Linked DNA regions of Tamandua tetradactyla. Each later gene encodes a partner of the first gene's protein in a complex. Links are inferred from orthologs where the notes say so. Each region holds a gene or a part of one and is shown on either strand. Other genes may lie near its edges. The genes, in order: COP1 and TRIB1.

Region 1 (9,823 bases):
AGCTTGACCTCCAGAGTAGTCTCTCAGCTCTATTTGAACTCTCTCAGCCACTGACACTTTATTAGTTACATTTATCTTCCCCTTTTTGGTCAGGATGGAATTGTTGAGTCCACGGTGCCAGGGCCAGATTCATCCTTGGGAGTCATCTCCCACGCTGCCCGGGAGACTTTCACCCCTGGATGTCATGTCCCACATAGCAGGGAGGGCAATGATTTCACTTGCATAGCTGGGCTTAGAGAGTGAGGCCACATTTGAGCAACAAAAGAGGTCCTTAAGAAATAACTCTTAGGCATGCCTATAGGTAGGCTAAGCTTCTCCGCTACCTATATAAGCTTTGCAACAGTAAGCCTCCAGATCAAGGGCTTGGCCTACTGATTTGGGTGTCCCTAATGTTTGATACAGGATTAGTATCAGGGGACTCCTTGATGGTAAAGTTTAATAATTCCATAGTTCTTCTCCCATCCCTCAAGGGACTTCGCCAATACTTTTTGATTATCTGCTTAATATATTCTACAATGTATCCAAGCATTGCATTAAACTATACTGGATTAAAGGCCCTCATTCTTATTCTGGTCTCCCTGTATTTCAGTTATCTGAATGAGCTATCCAGACAGGTTGAGTTAGATTATGTGCTACAGAAAGTTTAGGTTCCAGACAAAATACGCCTTTCTCCCTTTGGTCTCAAAGCGTAGATGTGGTCCTAAAATACAGACAATGTCTTCCTTATCCCTGTATTCTGAATTACCTTAAATCGGGACCTGACTGGCTTTGTTTTTATCTCTAAATACCAGGTAATAGATACATAAAACAGCCTCTCAAAATCCAGAAATAATAATTACCACTCCAGACTAAATGTGTCTGCCATTAGAGCTTACTATTTAGGCCCCTGTTTTCTTATAAGCATTTTCTAAAGGAGGCCACACAGTAATTGTTCTTTCATTTCTGGCTTATTTTGCCTCATCAAATGTTCCACATGGTTGCATGCCTCACAACTTCGTTCCCTTTTGTAGCAGCACAATATGCTATCATATGTATACACCATCATTCGCTAATCTACTTCTGTCATTGCATCCTTCAACCACCTGCATTCATTAGGCATCATGTACAGTGCTCAAAGTCCACAGTGTATCAACACTCTCAATTTTAGATAATTTCATTATTCCTCAGAGAAAGATAGCCAATTAACACACCCTCACCAAATAGGAAATCTAAACCTTCCCTTAACTTTTGTCCCTCCCCCGATTATTTACGCCTGCTGTTGCTGTGGTACTGCTGACGTTTTCCTGTCAAATACAATGGAGTTCTTTTAACTATTAAACCTTGCTTTTTACTTAATCCTTATTTACATTTTTTATTGTTTTCTCTCCTCCTGTTCTCTATTTCTTTTCTCTTATTTTCAGTTGTCTGACTTCCTTCTCTGTGTTTGTTTTTGCTATGCTTCCTCTTTTCTCTTCTGCTTTCCCAGAAGCTTCTGCAGTAGAAACTGTTTTCGGAATATAGTCTGGTATATTCTGCATTAATCTGGTATAAAAGGGAAATTCCATTGCATTACATCCCTTCAGTTTTGAGGATTTAGATTTTTATTGAAGATAGGTTTCAAAGTGGAAATACTAATCAGTGTTGATTTTTTTTCCTAGGGGACTCAGCTGGGGTCATATCACTTTCTATCATTTGAATAAGGAAGAGAGACTGCTTCACATATTCCTTGTAACTCTCCCACATAATAAAGTAGTGTTTCTCAAAGGGTTGGTCACCTGCATCAGATTCACTTGGATGCTGGGAAAAATGTATATTTGTAGACCCTATCTCAGGTTTATAGAGTCAAAATCTCTAGGGTGGAGTTCAGCAATCTGCAATTTTAACAAACTCGCTACATAATTCTTCTCTGCACCAAAGTTAGAGAGTCACAGAAGTAATAATATGTTCAACAAGTATGAACTATTTGAAGATTGGTATACTATTCCAGTTACCAGATAAAGGCCATGGATTCTTCTGCCTGCTGTGCTCAATAACCAGTTCCTGAGACACCAGGGTTTCAAAGAGAGAAAGAGTTTATTACTAGGCACGTAGTAGGAGAGCAGATGTCCTAATGACCCAACATTTGTCTTCTAGAACTGCAGTAATTCGGGTAGTTTTGTTAGAGAAAAAGTAACCAGGGTTTAGGATAATGAGCAGAGTGACCCCAGATGATATAATTAGAGGTGATGTGATTATTGAGCATGTGCAGATTGATTACATGCTTAGTCACAGAACACATGAAGGAAAATGGCGGAATGAGGTATGGGTGACTTGTAGGTTAAAGCCCAAGCTACTGTGCATGTCAGATGGACCCACTTAAGGTTAAATCTGGTCTCAGTCATCAAGATAATTTGGGACTTGGGGTGGTTTAGTTTCAGGCGGACCCAAGACTTCATTAACAAACATTAAGGGGCTGTCTTTAGTGATTCCAAGACTCTGAAGTTGAAAAACTAGATAACCAGGTACAGATGAAGGTTAGTCATAAAGTTTTTACAATCACAGGGAGAGAAGATAAGGGCTATACAACCGTTACTAGAGATCACGGCAGCTGGATTACAATTCAGAGATTTCAGGTATTTCCCTGTCTATTCCAATATCAGAAAGCTAAAAGGAATATTTATATCAAAATCATCCCTTAAATCCTGATTTCTCGGTTACATTCCGTTACTAATTTCCAAGTATTTCTTGCATGTGCCTTAGCCCTGCAGTTTCAGTCACTGCCTGAATATACTTACTTGAATGTTTTTCATCAGCACATTCCAACTAAATTATCCACTGGAAGTCTCCACTTCTGTCATTGTACTACTGCTATCCCCAGAGTAATTTTTGGAATTATTCATTTCTCTTCATGCTCTATCATTTTTATTTAACATATCGAGTACTGTGCCTAAGCACTGGGAAACACAGAGATGAATAAAACAGACAGAGTCATGCCCTTGAGGATCTTAAAGATTGTTTTAGAGTAACTTAGTCCTATAGATTCCATAGTTTGTTTTTTTTTCTTCCAGAATATTTCCTTGTCTTTCCTGCTACCATCCAAGTCTCTTATCACGTATGCCTGGCCTGCTGTAATTTTTCCTGATTCGTCTATTTGCTCTTAATTTCCCACCTCTTCTGAAAGATTAATCTGTTGATAGCTCAGTATTCTTCAAACAACGTTTTGAATACTTTCTTCCCCCAACTTGTACCTTCATTATTTCCAATTAACTAAAGCATATTTTCCAAACTGGATACTGGCCTTTTCCAATCTGGCCTCCCAGATGAATTTCTCCTGAATACATTCTAGATATCTATACTTGACATAGCATTTTTACTTATTTTTTTGCTTTAAAAAAACAGACTTTTCTTTAAAGGCCTAACTCCTTCCTCCAACAAAAATGACTGTCCCTCAGTACTTGCTCTTGCTTCAGTTCCGGTAGTTATTCTGTTTTACTCATTAAGCATTTAGCATGTGGTCTTTGGTATCATTACTTATTATTATTTTTTTGTATATTTCTCTATTTCCTCAATTATTCCATAGGCTTCTTGAATGCTGGAACAATGTTTTATACACTTCGTTGTCTCTTCCTTGCCCCGTCCATGCTTAATGTCATTCAATAAAGTCATCAAATTCATTATATTCAGTCATTTATGTATTCCATCATCAAATACTTAATTGAATATCCACCGAGGACCAAGCTGATCTTTGCTTTCATGGAACTTCAGTTTAGTTGGTAAGACAGACATTGAACAAATAATTAAAAAAAAAAATGAAATGGATACATTTACTCATTTGTTAGTCAACACTTAGTAATCACCCATCACAGGCCATGTTTTGTGATCCATGTTGGTAGTATAATACTGAAGCAGATGGTAGGGAAGAATCACATATAAACAACTAAAATACAATGTAATAAGTGCAAACATAACATCTTGGCAGCAAAAAGGACGGCCCTATTATCTGTCAAGGAGAGTTAGGGAAGGCATCACATTTCAGTTGGGTCTTGAAAGTGATTTGAAACAAGGGATTGCAATATTTTTGCATGAAAAGGATGGTTCTTAGAAAACTGATAACGCAATTCCTATACCATTACTCTGAGCAGAAACTTGAGCTAAACCCAAGAATCTTGGAATATGAGTGAGCAGTTTAAGGTTGAATTGGAAGAGGGTGTCTGCCATCACTGCCCAGCTGGGCAGCGAGGTTTGGGTTGCTGGATGAACCTTCATTCAGGTTTGTCCTTAATCCTGCCCCCCGGGCCACAGACAGTCAGGTAAGTATGTCGTTTCTCCTGTATGTGTCTTCAACACCCACGACACAATTAAATCTGGGATTCTTTCCTCTAAGAGTCATAGAATGATAGAGTTGGAAAGGATACTAAAAATCACACAGTTCAGTTGTTTCTAACTTACATTCTCTAGAATTTTGGGCATTCTCAAAGTGATAAGCAAAAGTCTGCAAACAATTTTCAATATTCCACAACACCTAAAAGATATTGCACATTTTCGGGTGCCAGGTTTCCCTGTTCTGTGCCAGAATTATATCAGGCCCACATTAAACCAAGGTTCTGAATAATCTATTGTCTGATTAAGTATAGTTCGTTTCCCATAATTGTTATACTCAACTTGGTAAACAACTTTTCAAAATATAGGCGTGAGCTCACAGTCGAACCTGTAAAACTGGTAACTGCTACAAGGTTTGGAATTCACGAAGCACTTTTTACTAAGTTCATCTTACTTTCTCACAACATCATCGAATAGCTTAACAGCAGAGCCCGTTGGCCTGGAGTCTCAGTTTACTGATCTTTCCACTGCTCCGCGCTTCACGTTTCCCTTCCGTGTGCTTACAGCACCTTCATCCCTAACTGGTAAGGCGCCACTGAGTCACATCGTCTGCGTCGCAGAGGGCAGCGACCGCATCGTTCACACCCAGGAGGAATGCGGCTCGCTCCCACGCATGCGTGTACAGCGACTTAACGACTGCTATACTCTTCTTGGTCCCGAGCTGGGACACCCGGGCAAACCCGCAAGGGTCTGCGCCCAAAGCGCGCGTGCGCAGTCACCCATAGCGCCCCCGTCGTCCCCAGGTCCTGTAAACTACCTCGCCACTCTTTACTAATCTGTTCACTCTCCTCAGCAGTTTCACTGGATTAAGACGCCTTCCCTCCAATATGTCAGGCACGAAAACAGCTTTCGACAAGGGATTTTTCCCATTGCTAAGCGCCCAAGGCTTTGGTGCGCGCTGAGGGTCGCTCGGACTGTGTGAAGTTGTATTCCCCGCCGCTCCCGCCCCTTCCGCCGTCCGCGCGCGCGCACGGCCGGCTCACGGCACGCCGGGGTTGGCTGCGGCTGCGACCACGGCGGCGGCGGCGGCGGCGGCGGCGGCCTCGAGAGCGGTAGTGGTTTCTACTCTCCTTCATTAGTTTCCTCCGCCCCCTCCCATCGGACGCTGTTGTGTGGTTGCCTTAAAAAAATAACTTTATTGTTCCACAGCCCCACCTCCCGGCGTGCGCGCGTCCTCAGGATGCACTGAGGCTGAGCGGAGGGCAGGCGGCGGCCGGTCGAGGTCCGGGTCCCTCTCCTCCGAACCCCGGAGGAGAGGGAGTCACGATGTCCGGTAGCCGCCAGGCCGGGTCGGGCTCCGCTGGGACTAGCCCTGGCTCTTCCGCGGCCTCCTCGGTGACTTCCGCCTCCTCGTCCTTATCCTCCTCCCCGTCGCCCCCTTCCGTGGCAGCGTCGGCGGCGGCGCTAGTGTCCGGCGGGGCGGCCCAGGCCGCGGGCTCGGGCGGCCTCGGGGGCTCGGTGCGGCCTGTGTTGGTGGCGGCTGCCGTGTCGGGCAGCGGCGCCGGGAGCGGCGGCGGGGCGGTGTCCGCGGGCCTGTCCCGGATCAGCTGCACGGCCAGGCCCAGCGCCGGCGTAGGTGGGAGCAGCTCCAGCCTAGGTAGCGGCAGCAGGAAGCGACCTTTGCTCACCCCACTCTGCAACGGGCTCATCAACTCCTACGAAGACAAAAGCAACGACTTCGTGTGGTGGGTTTGAAGAGTAATTCCTGCCTCGCTACCTTAAGAGTATCTGTTGGGGTCAGTGAGAGGGTGGCCTGCCTGAGAGCTTGGGATACTGGTGCTCTTATGGTGGTGTCAGAGAGATGGGAGCCAGTAGGTGGTGGAATGGGATGATGGGGTCCTGAGGCAGGGTGGGTAATGAAAAGATAAGTGCAGGTAGGGAGGAAATGAAAGGAGTTTAGGGAATAATAAATAAATGGGAGAGAAGAGATAGAGGGTCACATAAATGATAGAAAAAAGGATAAAATTGGGCAAGCAGGTTGAAGCTTGCTTTTTTCTGGCCAACTTGTATATTAGGTACCCCAGATCAGTTTTATTTCTTGTTGAGGTGAATTAAGTTTGTACAGAACAGAGGGATGGAATTCTGTTTTGGAAGTATGAAGTTGCTTATTGGAAGTATTGTGCATGGAGCTCTAAAAAAACGGGATTGAGGCTGTTTTAAGGGGAAGTAGTATTGAATATAAATATCCACCGTATGTGTATGTGTGTTTAGATACAACTTCTCACATTTCCAAGTGCAGACCACTTGCTTTTAAATCTGCTTTCGAGGCTACTGTAATCAGAAAAGTCTGTTCATAAAAAAAAAAAACTTCTTAATTGAATGTCTTGAAAGAGGAACTGTATTTATTAAGTACCATCAATGTATCAGGCAAACTGTACTATGCTTGTAGAACACAGTGTAATACAGGAACTACTAATTTGAGAAACTCTAGATATTGGAGACTTTGTCGTCATAAAAAAAACAACGCAATGTTTTGTGCATTTTGAATGATACACAGGGATATTAAGTCATGATATTTGACATAGAGAGATTACCCGTATTAAGTTAGAGTTGTCTAGCGATAGGGTTTGGGATTTTCATTGGGCTTTGGATATTGGTAGGATTATGAGAGGATTGTTTTATAGCTGAGAACTGGTAGGATTTTGTCCTTTTCCTCTGGAGGAAATTGTTGATAGGCTTAAGATACTAGTGATGTAAGAAGTTGGCTTGTGCTATTGGAGAAGTTGATTCACTTTTCAGGGTTAAAGATAATCTTGAGTTGGTGTCATTATATGTGATAGAGCTAGAATTGGAACTTAAAGGGAAGTTATTGGTAAGACTTTCAGGTTTTAGCTCCTCCAGAAAAAAATGTGTCTACTCATATTTCTGCTTTAGTCTTAATTATTCTGGATTAAAAATTAACTCATTTTTTTCATTGAAATTCGTCTATAATTGTGATTATAAATAGTTTGAGCAGCTTAAGGTTGGGTGTTTGCCCTCATGCCCAGTAGAGAGTGCCATATGATAAGGTAGAAGCTAATATAACAAAGTGGGGGTTTGCAGAATTTAGTCATTTCAGTTACCATTTACACTTCACTTTTCAGGTTAAAGAAAACAAATGCCAGCATCTGTATATGTATACTAAAATAGTACAAAAGATGTAAGAAATAAAGAAATCATTCATTCAACAAACATTTATTTAGTACTCATTGACAGGCACCATATGAGTTGCATGTACTTTAGGCCATTTTAAAGAGATTTGGTGAGGACAGGGGACATAGAAACAGCTGGCACTGATTTTTTAAGGGCAAGATTATTAAAATTTTTAATAGTCATCACCTTACTTCTAAGAATTTTAATCCACTCTCGAATCCTAGCCATATTCCTTAGATTGTTCTGTTTTCTTTTATATTCTAGTATCAGTGAGATTTTTCAGTTAAAAATTCTGAATATTTCAACTTCTGGGAGCTTATTAGTCCATTATTTGTTTTTCTGGTGAAGTTGAATAATGAAAGAATTAATTAATGGAATCTGTTTTCAGTTTCTCCAGCCAGTTTTGATTTTGGCCAAACCCTTTGGGTAGGAGGACATGGATTGGGCAAGTCTTTGCAAATCCTTTTAGTTTCTAATTGGCTGTAGGTAGCTTGTCTCTCTGGTAGGCCCAAGGGTTGAAGTATGAACCAAATTGCTCTATGCTTTTTTTTTTTTTTTTTTTCACATGGGTAGGCACCAGGAATCGAACCCGGGTCCTCTGGCATGGCAGGCAAGCATTCTTGCCTGCTGAGCCACCATGGCCTGCCCTGCTCTTAGTTTTATATCTACATGAGGCCCAAGTTTGAATAATGATGATTATTCCTTATTTATTTATCATATATTTTTGTATCTCACATCTCGTTTTATTCTTAGAGCACTTCCTATTTTAACATAATACGAATTTAATTAAATTCCCATTAAGTCACAGACAAGTTAAGTAACTGTTTTAGATCAGACAGCTAAGGGACAAAAGTGAGAACTCGGATCTTCCAGTTCTCAGCTTAGTGCTTTCTTTTTATGAAATCGTTAGTCTGATGGTTCTTAAATCGGGCAAATGAGAGGAAAGCAACTGTTTCTTAATGACCTGAGATAAATGTTTTTATCCTTAGCAACTTCTTCCCACTGTCCCTGCTGCTTGCCACTTATCCCAAGAGGACATACCAGGTTTGCAGACTAGAGTGGGCAGTGTAGTTTCCAAAAGCTCTCCAGGTGATAATGGCATATCCTCCTTCCTCTCTTGGGAACAATTGATTTTAAGTCAAATACATAATTTTCGGTAATATACATTGATTTCTCTTGACTGATATCATATTTGAAAATTATGTTTAATTGCAGAAATTATTAAAATTCTAGGGATAATTTGTACTTTTACATTTCATACAAATAAGTTTAACAGTAAATTATAGGTGGAGATTGTGGTACGAGAGAGAAGTATTTAGCTCGACACTGGTCAATTCATTACATTCAAAGAAGTGTTCTTTACTTTTTATTTTACAAATTTCTTTTGCATCGTCCATTTAACTAAACTATGTATCTGTCTTATATTTGGAAGATTTCTCCATTCTTTTATTCTGACTCCTTTATTTCATTTCTGTTCGTAGGTACTGCCTCTTTATTAGTTTTTTTAACTACCTGGAATACCATTTCGATGTCTGGAAATCCTAGTTTCTCAAAGTTGCAGCTGAAGTAATCTGTTTTCAAGTAGATAGTAAGCCCCTTGTTGGAAAGTTACAATCTTAATCATCTGTCTGATAGAAAGTAGTTTAATCGTCTGTCTGATAAAAAGTAGGTAGGATCAAATTATTATGTGAGTCCCATCTTGTGTTAAACTATTAAGACAGACTCTGTCCTTAAGGAGCTCATGATTTAATGCAAAGAAAGACTTTTAATCATGTAATTATAATGTCTAACCTGGCATCATTGTTACTATTCCCATCTCTTAATATAATGGCAGATATCAAATATTCTCCTTAATTCAGTTGTCTCACAATCCTCAGCATGGTGCTCGAGGCATCCATTACTTTTAATCACATTTAGCACTGAAAATGAAATCTGTTGGCTGTTCTTGCACCTATAACTATGTTTTTCAAACTCTTAAAAAATGAAATGGAACAAATCATAGAACCTGTTAATAGGATAAGTTTGATGAAACTTTTATTTTTGGTTATTTGTGTATGGATGTGATGTGTAAAGTATTTCTTACTATCAGGGTCAAATTTTTTTGAAAGTCCCTGAATTATGGGATATAATTTCCCCTGTGACATTTAGGAAATGTGTAAGTGAAAACTTTAAGAATTTTTTTAGATTATTGCTAACTTGTAAATATAGAAATGTAATTTATTCAGCCATTTAAATAAATTTTAGAATTCATTACATTATTATTTTAGTAACACTAGCCAAGAACCTCCTTCAATCTGCAAAACTAAAATCTTGTGGTGTTTTTTGCTTTATAATACATTTGGATAGTGATGAT
Region 2 (9,950 bases), on another chromosome or scaffold:
CCTGGAATCCCCTGCCCTAAAGGCCTGGAATCTGCTTCCAGGATCAGGGGTCTCTTCCCTGGTCCATTTTCCCAAGGTGACCAGCTGCCACCGCTGTCTGCATCTCTGGGACGTGGCTGCTCCAGGAAGGCCCAGGAGCAGTGACTGTTGGGACGCAGTGGTTGTAGATGGAGCTTGAATATGTCAGCCGGGATGTCGTGAATATGCCTGGAGGTCACATGTGGCCAAAGCTGGAAGAGAAGGGGAATCAAGTCACATCCACAAGACTCCGTCTCGCTCAGGTCCCCACACCTGTAGGTGTCTAATGCTTCCCATTCCCTTAAAATAAAAGAAGAGAATTTTTTTTGAATGGAATTTCTCTTCATTGGGAGATTGAGGTGGAGCATAAAGTAGAAAGAGCGAGGCTTGGAGACAGTAACCAGGGTTCAAATCCTAATTTTGCCATCTCGTAGCTGTGTGACCTTAGATAAGCCAGTCAACCTCTCTGAGCCCATTTGTGCAGCTGCACAAATGTTGATAATAACAACTATTTTGTAAAATTGCTTTGAATATTAAATTACAGAATTTGAAAGGGGTCTGGTATATACCAGGAACTCATATACCAGAAATGTTTATTTCATTTCCTAGTTTTTGAGACATTGTCTTTTATATGCTAATACTGTCTTTCCTAGATGTAACCTGACTTTTTTTTGTTTTTGTTTGTTTAAAATTTAGGGTCAGGAAGCATCAAGTACCCGACAAATACCCATTTTTGTATGGCTGCAAAACCTCATGTACTGTGAAGCGGGGAGATGGAAACAGGTAGTTATGAGAACTTTCCCTGCATTTTAGAGTTTGTAGAACGCATGTGTTGTTTCCAGGTATCTACCTTGACATGAATGAAAGTGAATCAAACTTCTCCAAAAAGATGAATACAGGTTTCTCCACATTATGCAATATGTGAGTTCCTGAAAAGTCAGCTATTAATCAAATTTATTTTCCAGTTCAACATGTATTAAGCATTCAGTGTCAGCTCAGCATAGTGCTGAGGCCATGCAGGGTACCCACACACAGACACACACACACACACACACACACACACAATGAGGTGTGATGGGGATTCTGGATTTCCAAGATCTTATTTACCAGGCTACATTCTAAATGTGCCAAAGGGTCTTTCTAATGAAATCACCTGGCAGACCATTTATAAAGCAAGGAACCCGTGCCATGGGAAGAATTACTTCCCAATTAATATCCTATTTCCATATATATTTGTATTTGTAAATGTAGATTTTCATAGTAAAGGCCCCTTACAATCCTGGCACGTGGCAATCCTTTAATAAATCATTTGTCGACTAAATGAATATAGTTCAAAATCAAGGCATACCTATATCTGATAATGTCTCCATTTTGTGCATGGGTGTATAAATCAAAAGTACTTTTCACTTATTTTTACCCACTTGTTTTCATAAGAGCTTTGTAGGGGAGGGAAAGTGGGTCTTTTAGTATGCCCACTTCAAAGGTGAAGCAACCGAGGCACATAAAGGGCAACTGGCTTCCTCTTGTCAGTATCTGAAAAGTCCGACGGAGTTCAATCCAGACTTTGCCAGCAGGGAAAGCCCCAGCGATAAAATTGAGACCATTTTGGTTGGTTCACTCATCCCTTGGCTGACCTGATCTCAGAGCCCCACGAGTCCATGTTCCACTCTCCCGCAGCCCCAAGGCTTAAGCCCCGCTTTCCCCAAAGATCCACACCCCGCTGTTTCCCGGGGATGAACATCAGCCTCTGAAGCCTGAGCCCTACTCTCCAGCTGCCTGTCTTTGCCTGAATACCTGTCCCCCTCCCTGTCTCTTGTCGCCGGCTTTCCTTCTGCTTGACCCTCTGCCCTTGAGCACACTCATTCTGAGTTCTTTTACCAGTGGCACTTACTGAGTTCTTCCTTTGTACCAGGCATGGTGCTGGGGGCTGGAGATACACAGCCATATAAGATACGGCCCCTGCCCTTGGGGAGAGCTGGACGGAGGACCCAGCAGGGCCTGGGAGGGCATTTAAACCTGACTGGGGGGTTGCGGGAGAGCCTCTGCCGGAGGTAACAGCGCTTTTGAGGGATGAGTGGGTTCAGCCCTTGGTGGGGGAGGGGAGGGAAGGGCAGTCCAGAGGGAGAGAGGCGCACCAGTAGAAGTGCACAGGTGTACATTGGTGTGACTTTGGGCCCCTTTTAGGAGCTGGCAGAGGTAGGGTGGAGGCGAGGCGAGGAGAAAGTTGGGAGTGGGAAGGGAAGGGGGGTGCCAAGGAAGAAGGGCTTACTTTTCCCCTGAGTGATTTTTAGGTCAGTGGCCTGAAATGATCACATATGAATTTTAGGAAAATTGCTCTGACAGTTGCATGAGGAATGGATTGAGGGGAGAAGAGACACTTTGTTTCATTCCCCACTCCATCTCCAGCACCTGGTAGGTGCACTAGCACAGAGCAGGTGCTCAGTGTTTGTTAAGGGAATGAATGAGTGAGTTAGAGAAGTCTACTGCAGAAATCCAGGTGAAGACCTTGAACAAAAATTATGAGAGAGGAGAGGAAGGGAGAGGTTCAGAATTTGCATCATTCAGGGTTCTGTAAGAAAAAGGAGCAGAGGCCAGAAAGTTCAATAAAACTCTTGAATGTGGGGGACTAGTTACAAAAGTATTGAAAGAACAGAAACAAGACAAAACCCTGTGGTTCAGGGAGGGGGCCTGTGAGGAGGGCAACCCAGGAGTGAGCAATATCGGGAAGCTGCTACCACCTGGGGGCAGGAGGCAAGAAGTGGTGTTATCACCTGGTTCCAGGAACCAGAAACCCTGCGAGGAGCTGGGTGTGTGAAGAGAGGGCATTCTGGATCAGTTTTCCCACGGAACAACAGCCTTTGCGACGGAGACTAGCGTGCAGGGGCTTCATGATTCATTACGAAACTCTTGGAAGGGAAGGAAAGGAGCAGGATTGGGCAGAAGGAAAAAACAGGCTGTGATGCAATCTCAACAAAGGCCTCGGGTGACCCCAGAGGGAGCTCAGAAGCTGGGGTGCCCTTCGGAGCTGTCCCAAGTGTGAGCAAGGAGGCAGGACCTTTATACTCCCGGGATGACCAGCCATTAAATGTGGACCCTCTGGACAGGGGGCAGGACCCTGGGCAAGGCAGTCTTCTCAGTCAAGGCAGTTTCCAAAAAGGGATCAGATACGCACTCCCAGCAGCTGAGGAAATAAAGTCTTCTGCCTGAAGGGGTGCCTGGGCAGCACATCACAGCAGCCCAGGGGCAGAGCGGTTGCTGGCAGGGGCTGGAGCCACAGAGGAGGTGGAGCCGGGGCCCAACACAGAGAGAAGGGGAGGGGGGCCTGGCTACTCTCCTCCCACCTTCCAGTGTCTCTCCAGAGCTTCCCATTGGGCAAACAGGGCCGGGAGCCAGGGAAGCAGAGTCTGCAAGGCGCAGCCCCAGGTGAGCAGGGGAGGGCAGGCCATGGCTCCGAAAGAGCAAACAGGTGTAGGATGGTCACCCAGTGACCAGTGGACGTGAGAGCTGAGGAAGAAGGAGGAGTCAAGGAGAATTCATTGCCAGGGATTCTGGCCCCAAGGGTGGGTGGGGTACTTGGGTGGTGGTGACCTTTTCACTGAGGAGGGGCAGGGCAGGAGGTGCATGCCCTGGAGTAGGATACATACAATTACAGAGCTTAGTTCTGGCACAAAGGACCTCTGTGGACTCAGCTCCCTGCCACCACTGCAGTCACCCCGATCTGACACTCTCCTTGGACCAACCCTGCCCTCCTCCACATCTCTGCCAGGGCTGGCTACCCACCATTCATACAACCCCCCTGCCCAACTCGGTGACAGTTCCACACACCCTGCAAGGCCCTGGTCAAATACCTTCTAGATAGAGCCCTCCCCCACCCAGTTTTCCTCCCTTTAAATTGCAATCTCTCCTCCTTTGTGTCCCCAGTAGCCCTCCATCACTTAATGGGTTATGTGACCACAGCAAGCAATTTATCCTTTCTATGCTTTAGATTCTTCCTTAGTAAAATGGCAGTAATAGAGTTGTAGGAAAAGTAGTTAGAATAGTGTCAGCACATATTAGGCCTCCATTAATGTTAGCTATTATTATTTGAATTTTCATCTTCTAACCCCCAGAGACTAGCCTTTAGTAGATGCTTAATTAGTATTTGTTGAATGAATGGAGCATTAATTCAGCAAAGGATTTATACATAGGGCTCGACCTGATTTGAGAAAATGCCATATTTAGCAGGAGAACAAGGACTCTCTGATGATAGTTATCTAAGGTGGATGTCCAGGGAAACTGCCTGCTGACCTGATTCTCAAAAAAAAGAAAGAACATAAGATGCCAAACTGTTCCCATAGGGTTTTTTGCAGGGTCCGGCCCACATTTGGTGCTCAATGGAACCAGGCTGCACGAATGCACGCGCACGGGTGGCGGGCGTACCCGGCGGCGGGCAGTCTCGCCGGCTGTGACTTCCACCACCCTACCCACCCACCCTGGGACCGCGGCTGGCCCCGGGGCCCCAGATCCTGCGGCGCGTGTGGAGGCCGGGGAGGGGCAGGAATCCGGCAGCCACGTGGGCCCCTTCCGCCCGCTCCCCACATCCTTTGTTTCCCTGGCTCAGGAAGCTCTTTCAGCGAGTCACCGCGAAGGGGCGGCCCGGGAGCCTGGAGAAGCTATTTCCGTGCAATCCCGGCGGGCGGCAGGCGCGGGAGGGGCGTGGAGGTGGAGGCAGCGCAGAAGGCCCAGTGTTTGCTTTTATTTCATCCAACAGAAGGTTCTATTTGTGGAAGCGAACAGACGCTGGGGATTAGTGCTGGGAGGAGGCAGGAAAAGGGAAAAAAAAAAAAAGCCACATCCACTACCACGCACAGGTCTTCCCCGGAACTACCGCGTAGGAGTGAATGACTGATTCTGGATTTCATCACCTTCCCTATCCTCCCTTCCTCCGGCTACAGCCCACGGCTCGAGCTGGGGCTCCCAAGGCGCGGGACGGTGGGGGATCCCCGGGGCGAAAAGCGTGACCGCAGGGCTGCGGAGAGCGGCGGGTGCAGAAAACCGTGGTGCACGCGCCCTCCCGCCGGGGCCCAGGAGAACTCGCGCGCCCGCCGCGCGGCCGCAGCCCATTGTGCTCGGTGTGAATGGGGAACGCGCACCAATCAGGGGCCGCTTCACCCGTGGCCCCGCCCCTCCCGCCCACTTCCCCGGGACCCTGACGTCACGGGAACTTTTCCTCCGCCCCCTCCTCCTGCTGCTGCTAGCTCCGAGCCGGGGGCCTGCGGGAGGGCGCGCACCGCCTCCTGCCCAGCCCAGCCTAGCCCGGGGGGCGTGTGCGCGCGCCCAAGCCGGCCCCGGATGCACCACCTGCGCCCCAGCGCGCGGTGCGCGCAGCATCCCAAGCCCTCCGGCCCAGTTCCAACCCCCCCTCTATCAGCCAACCCCCCTCCGCCCCGGTGACTGCTCGTAGGGCGGCAGGGCCGGAGCCGTCGCAGCCACCTCATTGCACAACCCGGCTTCCCAACTGTTTACACAGCCCGGCCTGTGAGTGTGTGTGTATACAGCGTGAGTCATCGGGAGGCGGAGGAGGTGGAGGAAAAGGAGAAGGAGTGCACTGGCCGGGATCGGTGCGGCGAACACACTCACTCACACTCAGTCACTCTCTCCGAGCGCGTCTTGCTCGCTCATACACACGCCGGGAGCTCAGGAGCGCGTAGGACCCGAAGCGCCATCGAAAAGTTGCTTCGACTTCTGCTGCGAGACTTCTTGTTCTGGGAAGTGCATTTGCTCCGGGGCTCCGCCAAGCCTGCGAATCCTGTCCTCACCGCTCGGGATCCCGAGAGCGCCGGCGGTCACCGCCGCCCCTTCTCCCTCCGGGACTACCCGCAGCTGCGGCGACAATAGCGGCGGCTGTCCCCAGCGAGGCGCCGGGAGCCGGTGCCCGCCCCCGGGGCAAGCGCCCAGCGTGGTCCCCGCGTGCAACGCGAGCGCCGGGCAGCGGCTCCTGGTCTGCCCTCCGAGGGGACCGAGCCCAACCGGAGCTGCAGACTCCGTCCCGCCGGCTGGAAGAACTCGCGGCGCCGGCGCCCAGCCCGCAGCGCCCTGCGGCGCGGACCCCGGGACATACAAAACCAGCGCCGCCCCGGCCCGGGACGGGATGCGGGCCGGCCCGGTGCGCTCTGCCATGAGTGGCGCCTCGCAGCCCCGCAGCCCGGCCCTGCTACTCCCCGCCGCCCGGGGCGCCCCGGTCAAGCGCCTGCTGGACGCAGACGACGCGGCGGCCGTGGTGGTGGCCAAGTGCCCACGCCTCTCCGAATGCTCGAGCCCCCCGGACTACCTCAGCCCCCCGGGCTCGCCCTGCAGCCCGCAGCCCCCGCCGGTCCCTCCGGGAGCCGGTGGCTCCGGAAGCGCGCCGGGGCCCAGCCGCATCGCCGACTACCTGCTGCTGCCCCTGGCCGAGCGCGAGCATGTGTCCCGGGCGCTGTGCATCCACACCGGCCGCGAGCTGCATTGCAAGGTAGGCGTCCGGGAGGCGGCAGGGATCCGGGGAGACCACGGGGAGGGTGAAGGTGCTTGGGGTTGGGTCCGCGGGCGTTTGGTGCCTCAGGTTTGTTTGGGGTAGGGCGGACACCTGGGGTGAGTCCCTGTAAGACTGATCTGACCCGGCTCGCCCTATTGGGAATCGAGGGGTTTCCGATTGAGTGATAATAAGGGGGGCTCGGGGCGAAGAGGAAGTGGTCGTTAATTGCTTTATTTCTATATTCCTTTACTTAGCGCGCAGCTTAGCGCGTGGCGTTCCATATAAGTTGTGGAATTGAAATGGATTCCAGGGCCATGCCATTCCCCTTCCCTCATTTCCCCCACCCTCCCCGCCTCCCACTGGTCCTGGAAAGAGGCCCTGCCGTGGGTGCCTCCTTGGAGCAGCTGGCAGCACTCTGGCCGGGGTTTCAAGGCATCCGGACTCAGCTGTGGGTGGTAAAGGGGTGGGACGACTGTGTCGGTGTCCTGTCTCGGGGATTCCTGCTGGAACCCGCGCTGGGACGAGTATACCGCTGAGACCCTCCCCGCCCTTCCAGGGGAGCTGTTGGAGGTGGGGGCGGGGTGGTCTTCCGGCCGGGAAGGGTGGTTGGCTCGGAGTAGACAATCTTGGGAAGCCCGCAGCGGCCAGGAGGAACCCTCGCTACCATTCCCGGCTTTATTTTCCGGCCAGCGCTTTTCGCTTGAATAGAAGGGATTCCATCCAGGAGGAGGAGATAGAACTCCTAGAAACAGGATCCGCCGCTTCCTCCTCCAGTGCCCATAGAAGCAGAACATTCCCGCAAGCCACCCATTGTGAACCCGCACCCCACCCCCTGGCACCCCCCGAGAACCCTCCGGGCTGATCCTTTCACGAAAAAGACCTGGTCACCACCCTCACCACCCCCCAGTTAAACTTGCTCCTGGGTTTTTCTCAACTCACCTGACGCCCCCAGCCCCCAGGCTTGCTGCTGCCACCTACTGCCCGCCAGGAATGACCTTTCAAATGCCTGATCAGCCCAGTTTAAAGGGCAAAAAAATTTTTTTCTGGGTAGCTGGGTTAAGGGCTGTTTTGGGAAGAGTATGTGTGCGTTTAGGGGTGGGTGGGTGCGAGGAGGGGGCAGCAGAGGGATTCATCCACTTGGTGCCAGAGCAGCCAGGCCCCAGAGGGGGTGGGGGGTGAGTCTAGCCATTGTGCAACCCCTTCCAGTTCCTCTGAGCAGATAATAGCTGAATCCAGATGGTGACAGCCCGTGTGTCACCGTTTCCAGTTGAGTCTAGGATATGAGTAACCGGATCAAACAAAAGGCCTTAAAGAGACCAGCCGACTTCTTAGAGGAGATACTACCCATTTCCTGGGGGATGGGGTGGGGAGAGCAGGGCAGAAACAGATGGGGGGGAAAAAAAAGCCATTCAGAGGATCCCATACCCTGTGAGAATTTTAACTCCAGCCTGCTGATACCTGAGTCAGGATGCAGGCGGTTGGCTTAAGGCTGCGTTGTCACAGTCTCTGCCCAAGTCATCTGTTCCTCCTGACTAATGACAGCTCTGCATGTTCTCCGGCCCCTGCTTCCGCTGGGAGGCTGCAGAGTCACCACTTTTGTGCCCTCTGGGCTGACCCTTTGGTCTGCAGGAGGCACACAGATTCTCAGTGGTGGCATTGCCTGCAAACAAGGAAGGAACACATAAGATGGGGGCTCTGGTGCTGTATGCTCAGGAGCTGAGTTCTGATGGAAGACAGGCACCTGTCTGTGACGGGGTAACCCTTTGAATATTTGCTAGCCCAGAGCCCTAGATGCTAGGGGTACTAGGGGTGCACAGGGTGAGGTGGCAGAGAAAGGGAATAAATGAATCGAATACTACTATTATCAACCAAAGCAGGCAGGCTGTGAATTTCAGCCCAGCCATGAATTTGGGAGGTGGCCTCTGTTTTTCTAGCCTCCTAAATAGCAGCCTTCTCTCTGCAGGTGTTTCCCATTAAACACTACCAGGACAAAATCAGGCCTTACATCCAGCTGCCGTCACACAGGAACATCACTGGCATCGTAGAAGTGATCCTTGGGGAAACGAAGGCCTATGTCTTCTTTGAGAAGGACTTTGGGGACATGCACTCCTATGTGCGAAGCCGGAAGAGGCTGCGGGAAGAGGAGGCCGCCCGACTTTTCAAGCAGATTGTCTCTGCCGTTGCTCACTGCCACCAGTCGGCCATCGTCCTGGGGGACCTGAAGCTTAGGAAATTCGTCTTCTCCACGGAGGAGAGGTGAGCGGCTGCCACAGCTCCTCCTGTGGCCTTTTGGAACGATAAGGAAGGTGCAGGCTGAGCCAGTTAGGGTCAGTTGTGTTGGTTGAAAACAAAAGCCACGGGCTCAGTTGTCCCAGATTTAGTATTTAGAAGTTCTGCTCCTGAGGAACCACAGCAAAGGTTGGTTTATTTTGCGCTCTCTCTAATGTGGCCTTGGCAATACCTTGGTGCTTCTGTGGGATGTCGTGTGATGCCAGCATACCCCGCCCCCAGCCCCCAACTCCTACCTCATTGTCAGGCTTATTCCTCATTGTTCTCAGAAAGGTCACCTCTTCTGGGGAGCAAATGTCAACCTGGCCTTCACAATGTTGATTCCTAGAGGAAGTTTTCAAATCTTGGCTTCTCCCAGTGTTTCTTTGTACCTAGAAGGTATGGCAGAGCTAGTTGTACTCTTGTATCGGCAGAACTCTGCTGCCCTTCTACACACTGCATTCCTGTTCCATCTCAGGCTTGGTCCCTGATACTTTCTTCACATCCTTTGGTGCCTTTTTTTGAGACAGCTTGTTTGGACACATCTTTAGAAAATAGCCACATTTAATAATAAATGGAAATTGGCTGGAATTCACTGCTAAATATAGATCATGGCTTATATCATAAAGGACAAGATGAACTTGATAAGACAACCATGAGCCATTAAGATTCAGAGTTGAGGTTGCAGACAAGAGAGTTCAGGAAGCCACAGCAGACAGCCCTTAGCTGATTTTAAGAGGTGGCCCACATCCCTTGTGGGAAGATGGAGAACAGTAACATTATAGAATTATAGAGGTAGATGCGAGTTTTTTGTTTTGGGGGATCACATGGGGCCCACCCCATCTGTGTATTTTTACCTTAAACTCCAGATCATTTGAAAAAAGTACAGGGTTGAGTTGACAAAGTACAGCCTGATTTTGTACCTGACCTTGCAATAATTATTGGAACATACCGATTAGCAAAGAAAAGCAAACTGTTTGCAATAAAGAAGTTTCCAATTCCTGGCACATGCGCCTTCGATATGGTGATGCAGTTTCTGAAACATGCCTTACACACCTCTTTACCAGCTTTTGAAATCTGTGTTGCACAGGCAAATGTCATGGGCATGAAGTTTGGCAACCCGAGGGTTAAGCAATAGCAGGCTGACGCTGGTAGTGTAAGAAGCACAGGT

Evidence for each region.
Region 2: the proteins of COP1 (region 1) and TRIB1 are in contact, whole or in part, in a crystal structure (PDB 5IGQ), measured with the Homo sapiens proteins. The link is inferred for Tamandua tetradactyla from reciprocal best matches to the Homo sapiens genes COP1 and TRIB1. Residues at the interface, in NP_071902.2 of Homo sapiens: Ile423, Ser425, Val441, Lys472, Tyr491, Trp517, Asp534, Ala556, Asn557, Cys559, Ala576, Asp577, His578, Lys600, Ala601, Ser603, Thr618, Lys643, Asn644, Phe645, Phe699; in NP_079471.1 of Homo sapiens: Asp355, Gln356, Ile357, Val358, Pro359, Glu360, Tyr361.

What each region holds. Positions count from the first base shown.
Region 1 is NC_135330.1:30,140,124-30,149,946, reverse strand, and holds the start of COP1 (E3 ubiquitin-protein ligase COP1), read left to right. Parts: upstream 1-5,419; 5' UTR 5,420-5,604; coding exon 5,605-6,023; intron 6,024-9,823. UniProt on the Homo sapiens protein: E3 ubiquitin-protein ligase that mediates ubiquitination and subsequent proteasomal degradation of target proteins.
Region 2 is NC_135332.1:170,014,398-170,024,347, forward strand, and holds the start of TRIB1 (tribbles homolog 1), read left to right. Parts: upstream 1-5,566; 5' UTR 5,567-6,148; coding exon 6,149-6,508; intron 6,509-7,047; exon of another isoform or gene 7,048-7,081; intron 7,082-8,474; coding exon 8,475-8,767; intron 8,768-9,950. UniProt on the Homo sapiens protein: Adapter protein involved in protein degradation by interacting with COP1 ubiquitin ligase. The COP1-binding motif is masked by autoinhibitory interactions with the protein kinase domain.